3 linked regions of the Callithrix jacchus genome follow. The protein of the gene in region 2 binds, or shares a complex with, the protein of the main gene of each other region. Links are inferred from orthologs where the notes say so. Each region holds a gene or a part of one and is shown on either strand. Other genes may lie near its edges. The genes, in order: RANBP3, KPNA4 and NFKB1.

Region 1 (3,647 bases), on a different chromosome or scaffold from region 2:
TCGGGTATCTAATAGGGATAATGCCATTCTCCTGTGTGGCCTTATGACCATGTTACTTCTAAAAAAATGTTAATTCAGTAATATCCTCCAATATGTAGTCTATGTTTTAAGTTGTCCTTATTGTCCCTCAGATGTCTCAAGAAGTCTCATCAACTTTGGGACCAGCTGACTTCCCTTTCAGTAAAGGAGATCTCAGACCACCCGATGGGATGCAAGTAAAAGAGCCCCTTCCTCTCCGCACCCCTCACACCATTCAAAGAGACAGCTCCATATGCTCAGGTTTTACTGCCGAATCATGATTGAGAAAAAGGATTTGGAGTTGAAAAGGCCTTAAGCTGCTAGCCCAGGAGTGTTTTGTTTTTGTTCAGTGGTAAAGCCACACAGCAGTTTTCAGATCCCGTTGATGTGCCGCGTTGCCCTTCAGCACACTACCGGTTGGGACTGTGGCCTGCGTGTGGGTGCCAGTGGTTCACTGAGCCTTGGGTCAGGTTGCCAAATCCTACCAGTGTTCCAGGGTAGAAAAAGCCATGTATGGTTTTAATTGTAGTCCTAGCGCCTAAAATGAAGTCATGGCCCGGTTGGCGGCACAGGAGCGTTATTTCCTGGGCTTCCTGGGGAGGGCTCTGCCGTAAGTGCACATTTACAGGCACCATGGTTGGGGGTGGCAAAAATGAAAACTTTCTTAACTGCCTTGGATGGAGGCAGAGTTCTTTCTTTTCCCTTTTTAATGTGACGAGAATGTAAATATCCTTATGTGGGCTGTTCCATTATTTGTAAACACTAAACATTTATTTAATTTCCTCTCTCTCCAGAGCATTTGTTAACCTGAAGCAGGGAGGCCTTGAGCTTATGCTAGCAGAATCATGCCCATTTGGTAAAACGACAGAAGGCAGTTACAGAAAGGCTATTTAGCAGAAAGTATAGTATGACTGAAAATATGGTCGTAGAGTGTTGAGACCTATTTTTGTGGCTTACTGTTAGGGCGATGGGCTTAGCCCTGGTGCGTGTGGTTCTTGCCAGCCATGTGAATGTTAGGATAAGGTCAAAGGCTGGCAGAATCTTGATGTCTGATTTTACCAGGCATGTTGAAAATCGCAGGCCTCATCTTGGTTCTTTAGAGCTTACTCTTCCTGCCCAGGAGAAATGCTAGCACCCGGGTAGAAAATGCTGGAATAACACTGGTTAATTCTCCCAAGAAATTTTCTAATCTGAGAGAGGAAGTGATGTAATACTTCTCAACACTTGTACTAATCAATTCTTTTTACCCAAAGATGATGAATTTCATCCTGTTTTGATGTCGGGATTTCCAATTTATGACTTTCTTCTTGGGCATCCTGTTCAGCATTTTGAATTACATGAGGGTGTTTGAATATTTGTACTTCAAAAGCAGGGGTTGCAAAAAATTCAGGTGGTTCTAATTAGAGATAGGCAGTACCCCACAGAGCTCTGGGTTTGATTTTTCTCTTTCGAGGTCTTAAGTGTCTAACCATAAAGTAGCACCAGACATGGGTGGCCAGACCGACCCCAGTGCCCTCCTGTGCAGGTTTAGAGAGCAGCTGGTTGTGGGTCTGCCCTGGGTAGAGAGAGGCGACAGAGTCCTTTCGAGACGTGGATTGCTTTTGCTTTCCTAGGAATTTGTGAACATTCTCTCACATCCTCTTTCGATAGTTCCGTTCCTCCTCCCAGATCCCTACGTTTTAAGTAGTGCCCAAGCCCTGTCTAAAGAGATCAGCCGCTTCACACTCAGAAGAAACACCGCCATGTCCACAGGGAGACGGGGCAGCCCTGTACTCGTTTAGGTCACCAAGTACGAGAAATGGCTCCATGTCATTGGACAATGCCAAGAGGGAGGTTTGGGGACTAGAGCCTGTCTGTTTTAGGACGCCAGGTGTATAACCCATTTCTCAAGAAAAGAGTCTTGGAGTTATGGCCACAGAGCTCTCAGCCCATCGAAGCCCTGCCGGAGTCCCAAGAACCACCTGAAGGGATGCCAGGTGTTGTACTGTGGGGAGGAAGACTCCAGAACCGGCTGCTCTCAGCTTGGCAGCTTTCCAGTGAGCCCTTGCTGAATGAGTAGGGATCTTGCTGAGGATGCACCTGGGAGAATCCTAGGCCCAAGGGCTCTGTGATGTGCCCCCCTCCTCCATCTGAACTACCTGCCTACCGCTGAGGCAAAAACCAGCTCTTGGGTGTCTGTGTCACCCCACACCGGCACTCACTGAGGTGGAAAAGCACTTTCTGCATCCTGGGTGTAAGCAGAACAAATGGAAAGTGCCAGAAGAACTGTAGTGAGAAACAGAAGCCCTTGACCCCTGCCTCCCTGGTTTCTCCCTAACTGTAGGGTTCCAGCCCCACCTTCCCCTTTCCTAAAGCACAGAAATGGTGCTGATGGCCAATTCCCCCACTTCAGTATTTCTGAGATACTAAAGGAATTTAAATCTTTTGCATGATCATCTCTGTTCCTTGATCACCAAGGCCCATAAGCTGAGTAGCTCCTTGTCAGGCAGACTATAGTTTTGGAAACAAGGGTCCTGCTTCTCACATACTGCAGAGCTCCTTGCAAAGTCACATGGCTCCCAGTCCCATTCTCACTTTCCCTTTCGTCAGCCATGAGAGCCGGTTTTATTGAGTAGAACCCAGCAGCAAGTGCCTGCTCTCTCCACCGTCCTTCCAGGCACAGGAGCTGCTGCAGGCCGAGCCATCTCCAGCCTCTGACCCCTGCCTGCCCTCCCTGCTGTCTGGTGCAGGCTTTATTCACATTGAAGGAAAATTGTCTTTTGTGCTCCCAGTCCCCTGCAGAGCAAAAAGACTTGTCGGATTCGGGAGAGGAGCCTCGGGGGGAGGCTGAGGCCCCCCACCATGGCACGGGTCACCCCGAGTCAGCTGGCGAGCATGCCCTAGAACCTCCTGCCCCTGCTGGCGCCTCAGCCAGCACTCCTCCGCCTCCCGCTCCTGAAGCCCAGCTTCCTCCTTTTCCGCGAGAACTGGCAGGGGTAAGTCCACACCTACCTGGCACTCCTATTGCCCAAGGAGACGCCAACCCAGACCAACTCCTTTCCCTTGGGTCCCTCAGATCCTAGCCCTAGCTCATTGTAATAGGCTGATGGTATCTTAAAAGATGGCAAGGAGACTGGGCGCAGTGGCTTACGCCTGTAATCCCAGCACTTTGGGAGGCCGAGGCGGGTGGATCACCTGGGGTCAGGAGTTCGAGACCAACCTGGCCAACATAGTGAAAACCCCGTCTCTACTAAAAATACAAAAATTAGCTGGGCGTGGTGGCGCATGCCTGTAATCCCAGCTGCTCGGGAGGCTGAGGCAGGAGAATCACTTGAACCCGGGAGGTGGAGGTTGTGGTGAGCTGAGATCGTGCCACTGTACTCCAGCCTTGGCGACAGAGTGAGGCTCCTCTCAAAAAAAAAATGACAAGGATTTCTTCCAACTCTCTTTTAATTTGTGCTGCGGAAAAGTCAGGGGTGATCAAGTCCCTTTTTAGCCTTTTCTAAATTGGGGGAATATATACCCGCAGCAAGAGGTGAATCCTGTTTCCCGAAAAAGACATGAGGGGTCAGGAGGAATTCAGTCATGTGAAGTAGAACCTTCCGCAGCTGATCTGACCCCTTCACCCTCCTTCCATTTTTCTTTCTTGT
Region 2 (3,647 bases):
TGTGATCTCCGCCTCCTGGGTTCCAGCAATTCTCCTGCCTCAGCCTCCCAAGTAGCTGGGATTACAGGTGCCTGCCACTCTGCCCACCTAATTTTTTTTATTTTTTAGTAGAGACCAGGGTTTTATTATGTTGGCCAGGCTGGTCTTAAACTCCTGACTTCATGATCCACCTACCTTGTTCTCCCAAAGTGCTGGGATTACAGGTGTGAGTCACTGCACCCGGCCTGTGTGAACTCTTTCATTTGATGTCTTCTTTTTTTATTAGAAATATTCTTAGAGCTTTCTTGAATTTCCTAAGAAACAGTGGCAAAGCGCTGTTTTCTCCTTTTAGGAATTTCTATGTGTCCGTTTTTTTTTTAATCATATTTTTTCTTAAGCATAACGTTGGTTTATAGTTTTTTAGTGAGTTTTGTTTTAAGTCAAGGTTTTAAAACAAAAAAAAAAAACAATGCCTGGCTAATTTTTTGTATTTTTCATAGATACTGGGTTTCACCATGTTGCCCAAGCTGGTTTCAAACTCCTGGGCTCAAGCAGTCCACCTGCCTTCATCTCCTAAAGTGCTGGAATTACAGGCATGAGCCATCACTCCCTGCCTGGTTTACAGTTTTAAAGGTTTTAGACTTCTCCAGCTTGTCTCAACACAGAGTTCATATTCCAGAAAGACTTTGGAAGTAGTTTTAGGCACGTTATTATTATTTGTCAATAATTTGTGTATTTATTTGCAGCAGTTACAGTTGTTTGTCATACTGCCCTTCGGTCATAACTTCTAATTAGGACCTGACATACTAGGAAAGATCAAACACATGGCCCATTGTACTTAAGAGATAATCATTAAAAAATGGCAGGCTACTTAGTAAGTTGATTACACAGGCTGCACTTTTTTTGGGGGGAGGGGGGTAAATAGCAGCTGTAGTGAAGTATGTATTTTTTGTTTTAATTATAGATCTCACAGACTGACCTGTGATTATTTAATAATCTGCAGCTGTAGGGGACTCCCACTATTTAAGAAGTTGACTACAGTTCTATAAGGCAAAACAAACTGATTGGAAAAGATTAAACTATTATACTATGATACAAATACTTGGGTTATTGGCTTCAGGCATATCTACATGGTACTTATATTACTAGAGAACTCCTTGAATATATTCATGTAGTTCAAATGGTTTGAACAGCTGTGCATGTTGGATACATATAGTCTTTCCAGCTCTATACATGAACCACAATGTTTTTAGACCTATTGTCCCTCAACCTTTGGGAAACAGAATGTCTTTTTCTCCTATTTTATGTCCTGTGTAGTGTGCGTGTATTTCTTAGTGAATTAAGATTGTATACTAATCTGGGATCAGAATCCTGAATATGGCTAAAATACGTACATCTTAATACAGACATTTATAGATGATTATGTTTAATACAATAGTGAGCAGATTCCAATGAATTGAACTGAGAGAAAAAAGGAAGAAGGTAGTAGAACAATCTTAGAATAGTTGTTTGGTCAAGAATTACTAAAATGAGAAAATATTTAAAAGTTGTTTGAATTTTTATTTTATTCATTAGATATTGGTAGATACAGTCTGGGCCCTCTCTTACCTTACTGATGCTGGCAATGAACAAATACAGATGGTAATAGACTCTGGAATAGTTCCTCATTTGGTTCCTCTTCTCAGCCACCAGGAAGTTAAAGTTCAGGTAAGTTTGTTCCTAGTAAAATTATAGGTATTTCTTACCACTAATTGCTTTAAGTTTAAAGTATATTCTTAGCATAACAACAAATCTGTGATTGAGAGAGTGAGTTATTTTACCACCATTTTAAAGAGGAAAATAAATAATAAGACTCCATTGTAGATTACTAATTTTTTCTTTGAGATGAGGTCTCACTCTGTAACCCAACCTCCGCTTCCCAGGTTTAAGCCATTCTCCCACCTCAGCCTCCTGAGAGGGTGGGATCACAGGCACATACCATCGTGCCTAGCTAATTTTTTTCTATTTTTGATAGAGTCAGGGTTTTGCCATGTTGGCCAATCTGTTCTTGAACTCCTGGCCTCAAATGATCCACCCACCCCAGACTCCCAAAGCGAAAGGTGTGAACTACTGTGCCCGGCCTGATTACTGATTTTTAATGTAGAACAGGGAAATTCATTATAGCAACATGCATGACATCTGAAACAAGTATTGACAGGCACTTATTTTTCCTACTCCTTTTTATTCTTCCTCTTTGACTTCCCTACTTTTTTTTCCCCTTGCCAGCCATCCTTTTTTTACTCACCTGGCAACTATAGTTAACTCTTAGCTTCACTGGTGCTGAAATAAAGGCACTGTACTGAAATGTACTGTTTAGAGGCTCATACCTATAATCCCAGCACTTTGGGAGGCCAAGGTGGGTGGATCACAAGGTCAGGATATCAAGACCATCCTAACCAATATAGTAAAACCCCATCTCTACTGAAATGAAAAAGAAAAAATTAGCTGAGCATGGTGGCGTGTGCCTGTAGTCCCAGCTACTTGGGATGCTGAGGCAGGGGAATCGCTTGAACCAGGGAGGCGGAGGTTGCAGTGAGCCAAGATTGCACCACTGCACTCCAGCCTAGCAACAGAGCAAGACTCCGTCTCAAAAGAAAAGGAATGAATATAAAAACTTGTCATTTAAGGGCATTTATGACTTATCTTAAATATTCTTGCCATATGTTTATTCTTAAGTTTATTTTGTGTGGTACTTCTGTCTTGGTACAGATTTTGGTTTGTATTTTGTTCTTGTTTTTCCAGAATGTATCTTCAGTTTTCGTGCTGGACTTCACTAAGAATATAGGGCTTGGAATTTACCTTTAGCCAGTGCTCAAGGAAATTCTCTACTCTACCTGACACCTTACAGGGATTTTCTTAACACCTTTCAACTTTCATGCCATAATTTTGCAAAATAAAATAGTGTCATGGAACCCTATGTAACTTTTTCCTTTGTACCTCCACTCACTCCCCCAAATTATTTTGATACAAGTTCCAGATACCATTTTATGCAGCTTGCATCTCTAAAATTTAAGCCTATTTTTTTAACATAACCACAATACCATTAGTACACTTTTTAAAACCTTAGTTTTAAATATCCAATTGATATCTACTGTTTCATTATTTTTTCACAATTTTACCCAATCAATATCCAGACAAAGACTACACATTGCATCTGCTTACTATGTATTTTAAGCCTCTGTTACTGTGCAACTTTCTTCTCCTTTATCTTTCCTCTTTCAATTGATTTGTTAAAGAAGCTTGGTTACTATAAAACATTTTTGGAAGACATTAAAGAAAACCTAAATAAATGGTAAAACAGTTCGTGTTCATGGATTGTCTAATACTGTTAGGATGACCAACAGAGTTTGAGGACTTCTCATTTTCAAAATTCTACAGAGCTATAGTAAATAAAATTTTATGATACTGGCATAAATATAGACATACAGATCCATGAAATAGAATCAAGAGTTCAGAAATAAACCTGTACAATTTTCTTTTCTTTACTTCTTATGAGACAGTCTTGCTCTGTCATCCATGCTGGAGTGTGGGTGTAGTGGTGTGATCTCGGCTCATTACAACCTCCGCCTCCCAGGTTCAAGAAATTCTCCCACCTCAGCCTCTCGAGTAGCTGGGATTACAGGTGCCCA
Region 3 (4,112 bases), on a different chromosome or scaffold from region 2:
CACAATTATGTTACTGTTTGAAAAATCAACTACTCGTCTTACTTCTCCCAAGTTCAAACCAACTGAAGGTTATGAAGCAACCACTTCCCCCAAAAGCCAGAACTTTCACCTCCTCTGAACAGAGAAATACCTCTCATAAATTAGGTAAAAATAAGGTCTTGCTGATGGAAGGATCATCCAAGATTCATGTAGCTGTCAATTCCCTATCTCTCCCACAATGTGCAATCCCTGAAAGTCAAGGTAGTAACTTACTCCATCAATTATCTGCAAGTCTAAAAGTGTGGTTAAAGCAACCTGCATAAATATTAGTTTCTCAAATTAGTTCAATTTGTTTCCAGGAACAGTAACAAGAGAAATGTAAGGAATATGATCACTAAATATAAAATTCTGCCAATTTCAGATTAATTTGCTTTAATCAACTCAACCATCACAGATCTTGTTTAAGAGGTAGAGTAAAAAGGAAGTGCAAAGATCAAAGCAATGCTTACAAAGGGGAAGGGGAAGGACTATTTTTGCAATGTATACCCCCATATTTACTACCTGGGTTTGAAAAACAGGGGCATTTACTCAGCACAAGTGAGTACCAATGCAGAACATAAGAAATTTCAAAAAAAAAAAAAAAGATAATAAGATTTTTAAATCACCAGCAACCCAGGATTATACTGTTTTCTTTAAAAAGTCTCTAAGAGTTTAAGTGGTTTTTTCACTGCAAGCAGCAGTATTAAGCATACATATAACGTGTTCCTTTGTGTTCAAGTTTGTCCAGCAGGCTGTAGCCCAGGAAGACATTTTATCTAAACAAGCAGGGGAGGCTATTTAGGAATTGCAGGTATATCAATATGGATGAATAATCTCAGATTTCATGTCTCCATTAATCGTATAAGCTCTTTTCGTTTTAGCAATTCAATTAAATCATGAATGTAAAATTCTACAAGGAACAGATCTTTTTACTTCCTGCTTTCCCAAGTTTATAAACTAAAAAAAGTACTCTGCTTCAAATTTAAATACATAATTCCCATAGTGCCTCAAACAGTAAAAGGATTCACCTCTAGAAAGCACAGTATTATAATTAGGAAAAAAAAACATACTTCAGTTTTAAGTTTCCCTTTTAAAGTTTTAACAAACAGGAATGCACTTTAAACTGCTTGATAATATTCAGTTGTCGGATTCTGCTAGAAAAAACGTATGGAACATCATGACCCCAACCTTTAGTATTTACTAAAGATCACCAGTGTGTAGAAGAATATTTTGATGCCAGAGCTAGTCAATGTTTTAGTAATACCATAAGCATTTTCTCAGATTATGAGCTTTATAACAAAATCTTTAGGTTAAATACAGTTAGTTCATAAACTGTAATGCTGAAAACCTCTACTTAACAGAGTACATGAAAATGTCTTGAATCTTGATAATTAAATCCTGTATCATTAAGTCCCATTTGAGTTTCAGGATAGACCAGTAAGCCAGGGCAAACATCCCCTGGTGTATATGTTTTTAAAGACCATAGGAAAACTTACATTTAGGTTAGGCATTGTTTTTACATTATTTTTTGTTTTGGAGGTCATGCACAATGCATGGTGACTCTGTCCAAGAGTTTTACATAATCAAGTCTAAAAAGTGCTCTAAGTATGCAAGTGACTATATCGTGTGTGTGGTGGGTTGGGGGGTGGGGGGCAGGGGGAGAGGGAGGGCGGGAGGGAGGGGGGAGGGAGAGAGAGAGACAGAGAGAGAGAGAGGAAGGGAGGGAGGGACAGCCTTCCTTTAGAAGTAGGAGAGGGATGAATAGACTCTCCTATTCAATTCTGGGGAGCTGGAGAGGGCTTTCCCAGCCAAAAGGACTGACAAGGACTTCTGCTTTCATTTCATGGAACGCCCTTAGGTGAAATCTGGTTCTGCACTGCACCAACCACCTTCCCTCTCTCCTCCGCGCCGCAGCGCACCTCAACCTTCTCACCATCCCCCAGCTGCGGCTGGGGGTGGGGATTTTAAAAGTTTGTAAGAGTTCCCCACCGGTTAGCGTTCCCGCCCCGCGGAGGGACGTGAATAGAAATGACCGCCCGGGGGCCACGGCCCTTCGGCCGAGTAGCCCCCTGCAAGGTCCGGATGCGCCGAGGACGTGAAGAGGAATGACCGCCCGGCGGCCGCGGCCCTTCGGCCGACTAGCCCCTGCGAGGTCCGGATGTGCCTTTCCCCGCTGTCTCCAATCCCTTGTGCCTCTCAGCTACTGTCAACCTTCTCCCACGGTCTAGCCCAGCGGTTAGCGCAGGAATAAGGAAGTCCGAGTGGGGCTGGAGGGGTGCGGAGGGCTGGGTGGTGGGACTCGGGCCACGCGTACCCTGCCGGGTCCCCACTCGCCCGAGTTTGGCTTACCCGGGTGGCGAGTCAGCGTTCGGCTTCCTGTCGCGGGTGGGCTCTCCCTCCCGGGCGGCGCGGGCCTAAGAGCTGGAGAAGGAAGAGGCGGCGGCCGGCCGGAGCCCGAGCGGGCCCGGGTGCGGGTCGGGGCGAGCGAGAGCGCAGCGGGGCCAGGCTGGGCCAGTCAGCGCCGCGCCATGTCCGCAGCGCGGGCGGAGGGAAGCGCAGGGCGCGCTGTGGCCGGGCGGCGGCGCGCCTTCCTGGCCGAGCGGCTGCGGCCTCGGCGGCGCTGGGCTCCGGGAGCCGGGCCGGCGGCGGCGTGCAGGCCGAGGGCGGCGGCGGCTGGCGGCCAGACCGACGGGAAGGGCAGGGGAAGCTGTCAGCGCGTCGCCGGGCCGCTCCGGTGGCGAAACCTCCTCTTCCTGCCCCGGCTCGCTGGTGCACTTCTCTCTCTTTCTCTGTCGCTCACTCTCTCACTTCCTGGCTGGAAATTCCCACTGACGTCGAGAGAGCATACAGACAGACTGACACACGCGCGCACGCAGCGGGGGCGGGAGGTGGGGTCGCTGGCGGGGGTGGGGGAAGCCCGCATTTATGGGGGCGCCCTGCGCCCCAGGCCCGGCCTGGCTTCTGGGCTCGGCTCCCGCCCCTCGGGGCCGCTTCGGGGCGCCGGGCGAGGGGCGCGCGTTAGGAGGCCAGGACGCCCCGGTACCCTGCAGGGCTCTGGCTTCCCAGCCAGGCGCTCCCGAACCCCGAGGGCTGGAGCCGGTAGGGACGCCCCCAGAAAGCGCCTGCTGGGCCTGATGGTCTAGGAACGCAGGCGGCGCGGAGGCGGCGGCGGCGGCGGTGCAGCTGATAGAGTCATGCGGTCCAGAGACCCTAAGGGCAGGCCCGAGCAGCTGGAGGGTCGGCATGGATCCAAGCATGCCAGATATAAAAATAAAGCTCATCTGTATATTCCATTTAAGTGTGTCTCAGTTACACTCAAATCTCTTCGCAGATTAAACTAGAATTTAGATATCATAACCGACTTGTGTCAAGTGAAGTAACCTCTACTGGTTTTGGTGCAGTCTTAAATCTGGTTAGGACACTTACTCAGAACATTCATCTACCAGATATTGTTAGGCTTTTATGATAATTACTGTGGATAGAATCATAGTGATGGTGGTAGGAATGCATTTGATCTGACAGAGGGGAGTTTTCTTTTTCTCTGAAGAGATCGTTACTGGCACCCACAGACAGGCCTCCCAGTGGCCACCACCATTCACTGGCATCTGAACTGCTTTAGTGTTGGGCACTGTACTAGGCACAGGCTGGGGAGAAGTTGGTAGTGGACTACCTCCCCACATAAGCATGTTAAGCCGAAATAGATATTTTAGAGCTCATTGTTTAACTACTGGGTCGAGTGACAACTGAAAGCTTAGCTTTAAAACATCAGTAATCAGGTCTGCACCAGGCAATGTCGCAGTGACATTTAGATTGCTTATGGCATGTTCATCCTAATCCTTTCATGCCCACTTTCTGTCCTCCTTCTCCAGTAGGTCATAAGAACCTTCTTGGTGGAGTGTTTTTATGGAAAATAAAAACGAAACAAACAAACAAAAAAAACAGATCCATTTGATTGCCTATGAGGTGAGCCTCCGCACCTAGCAGTCTACCTTTAAGAGATCTCATTTAGCTCCCAGAGGCTGAGCAGCTGGGATTCAGAAGATTCATAAAGATTGAACACAAAGACTTTTAAAGAAATTCTGTAGGCCAGGCGC

Evidence for each region.
Region 1: the proteins of KPNA4 (region 2) and RANBP3 are in contact, whole or in part, in a crystal structure (PDB 5XZX), measured with the Homo sapiens proteins. The link is inferred for Callithrix jacchus from reciprocal best matches to the Homo sapiens genes KPNA4 and RANBP3. Residues at the interface, in NP_002259.1 of Homo sapiens: Arg96, Leu99, Ser100, Asp102, Arg103, Pro105, Phe133, Trp137, Thr140, Asn141, Ala143, Ser144, Gly145, Thr146, Ser147, Thr150, Glu175, Gln176, Trp179, Gly182, Asn183, Gly186, Asp187, Asn219, Trp222, Val225, Asn226, Arg229, Asp261, Trp264; in NP_015561.1 of Homo sapiens: Asn114, Tyr115, Cys116, Pro117, Pro118, Val119, Lys120, Arg121, Glu122, Arg123, Thr124, Ser125, Leu127.
Region 3: the proteins of KPNA4 (region 2) and NFKB1 are in contact, whole or in part, in a crystal structure (PDB 7LFC), measured with the Homo sapiens proteins. The link is inferred for Callithrix jacchus from reciprocal best matches to the Homo sapiens genes KPNA4 and NFKB1. Residues at the interface, in NP_002259.1 of Homo sapiens: Arg96, Lys97, Leu99, Ser100, Ser101, Asp102, Arg103, Pro105, Phe133, Trp137, Thr140, Asn141, Ala143, Ser144, Gly145, Thr146, Ser147, Thr150, Gln176, Trp179, Gly182, Asn183, Gly186, Asp187, Asn219, Trp222, Val225, Asn226, Arg229, His230; in NP_001158884.1 of Homo sapiens: Glu357, Glu358, Val359, Gln360, Arg361, Lys362, Arg363, Gln364, Lys365, Leu366, Met367.

What each region holds. Positions count from the first base shown.
Region 1 is NC_133523.1:5,604,712-5,608,358, reverse strand, and holds part of RANBP3 (ran-binding protein 3), read left to right. Parts: intron 1-131; coding exon 132-215; intron 216-2,789; coding exon 2,790-2,993; intron 2,994-3,647. UniProt on the Homo sapiens protein: Acts as a cofactor for XPO1/CRM1-mediated nuclear export, perhaps as export complex scaffolding protein. Bound to XPO1/CRM1, stabilizes the XPO1/CRM1-cargo interaction. In the absence of Ran-bound GTP prevents binding of XPO1/CRM1 to the nuclear pore complex.
Region 2 is NC_133518.1:24,785,053-24,788,699, forward strand, and holds part of KPNA4 (importin subunit alpha-3), read left to right. Parts: intron 1-1,554; coding exon 1,555-1,686; intron 1,687-3,647. UniProt on the Homo sapiens protein: Functions in nuclear protein import as an adapter protein for nuclear receptor KPNB1. Binds specifically and directly to substrates containing either a simple or bipartite NLS motif.
Region 3 is NC_133504.1:94,841,876-94,845,987, forward strand, and holds the start of NFKB1 (nuclear factor NF-kappa-B p105 subunit), read right to left. Parts: upstream 2,825-4,112; 5' UTR 2,368-2,824; intron 2,171-2,367; exon of another isoform or gene 1,978-2,170; intron 1-1,977.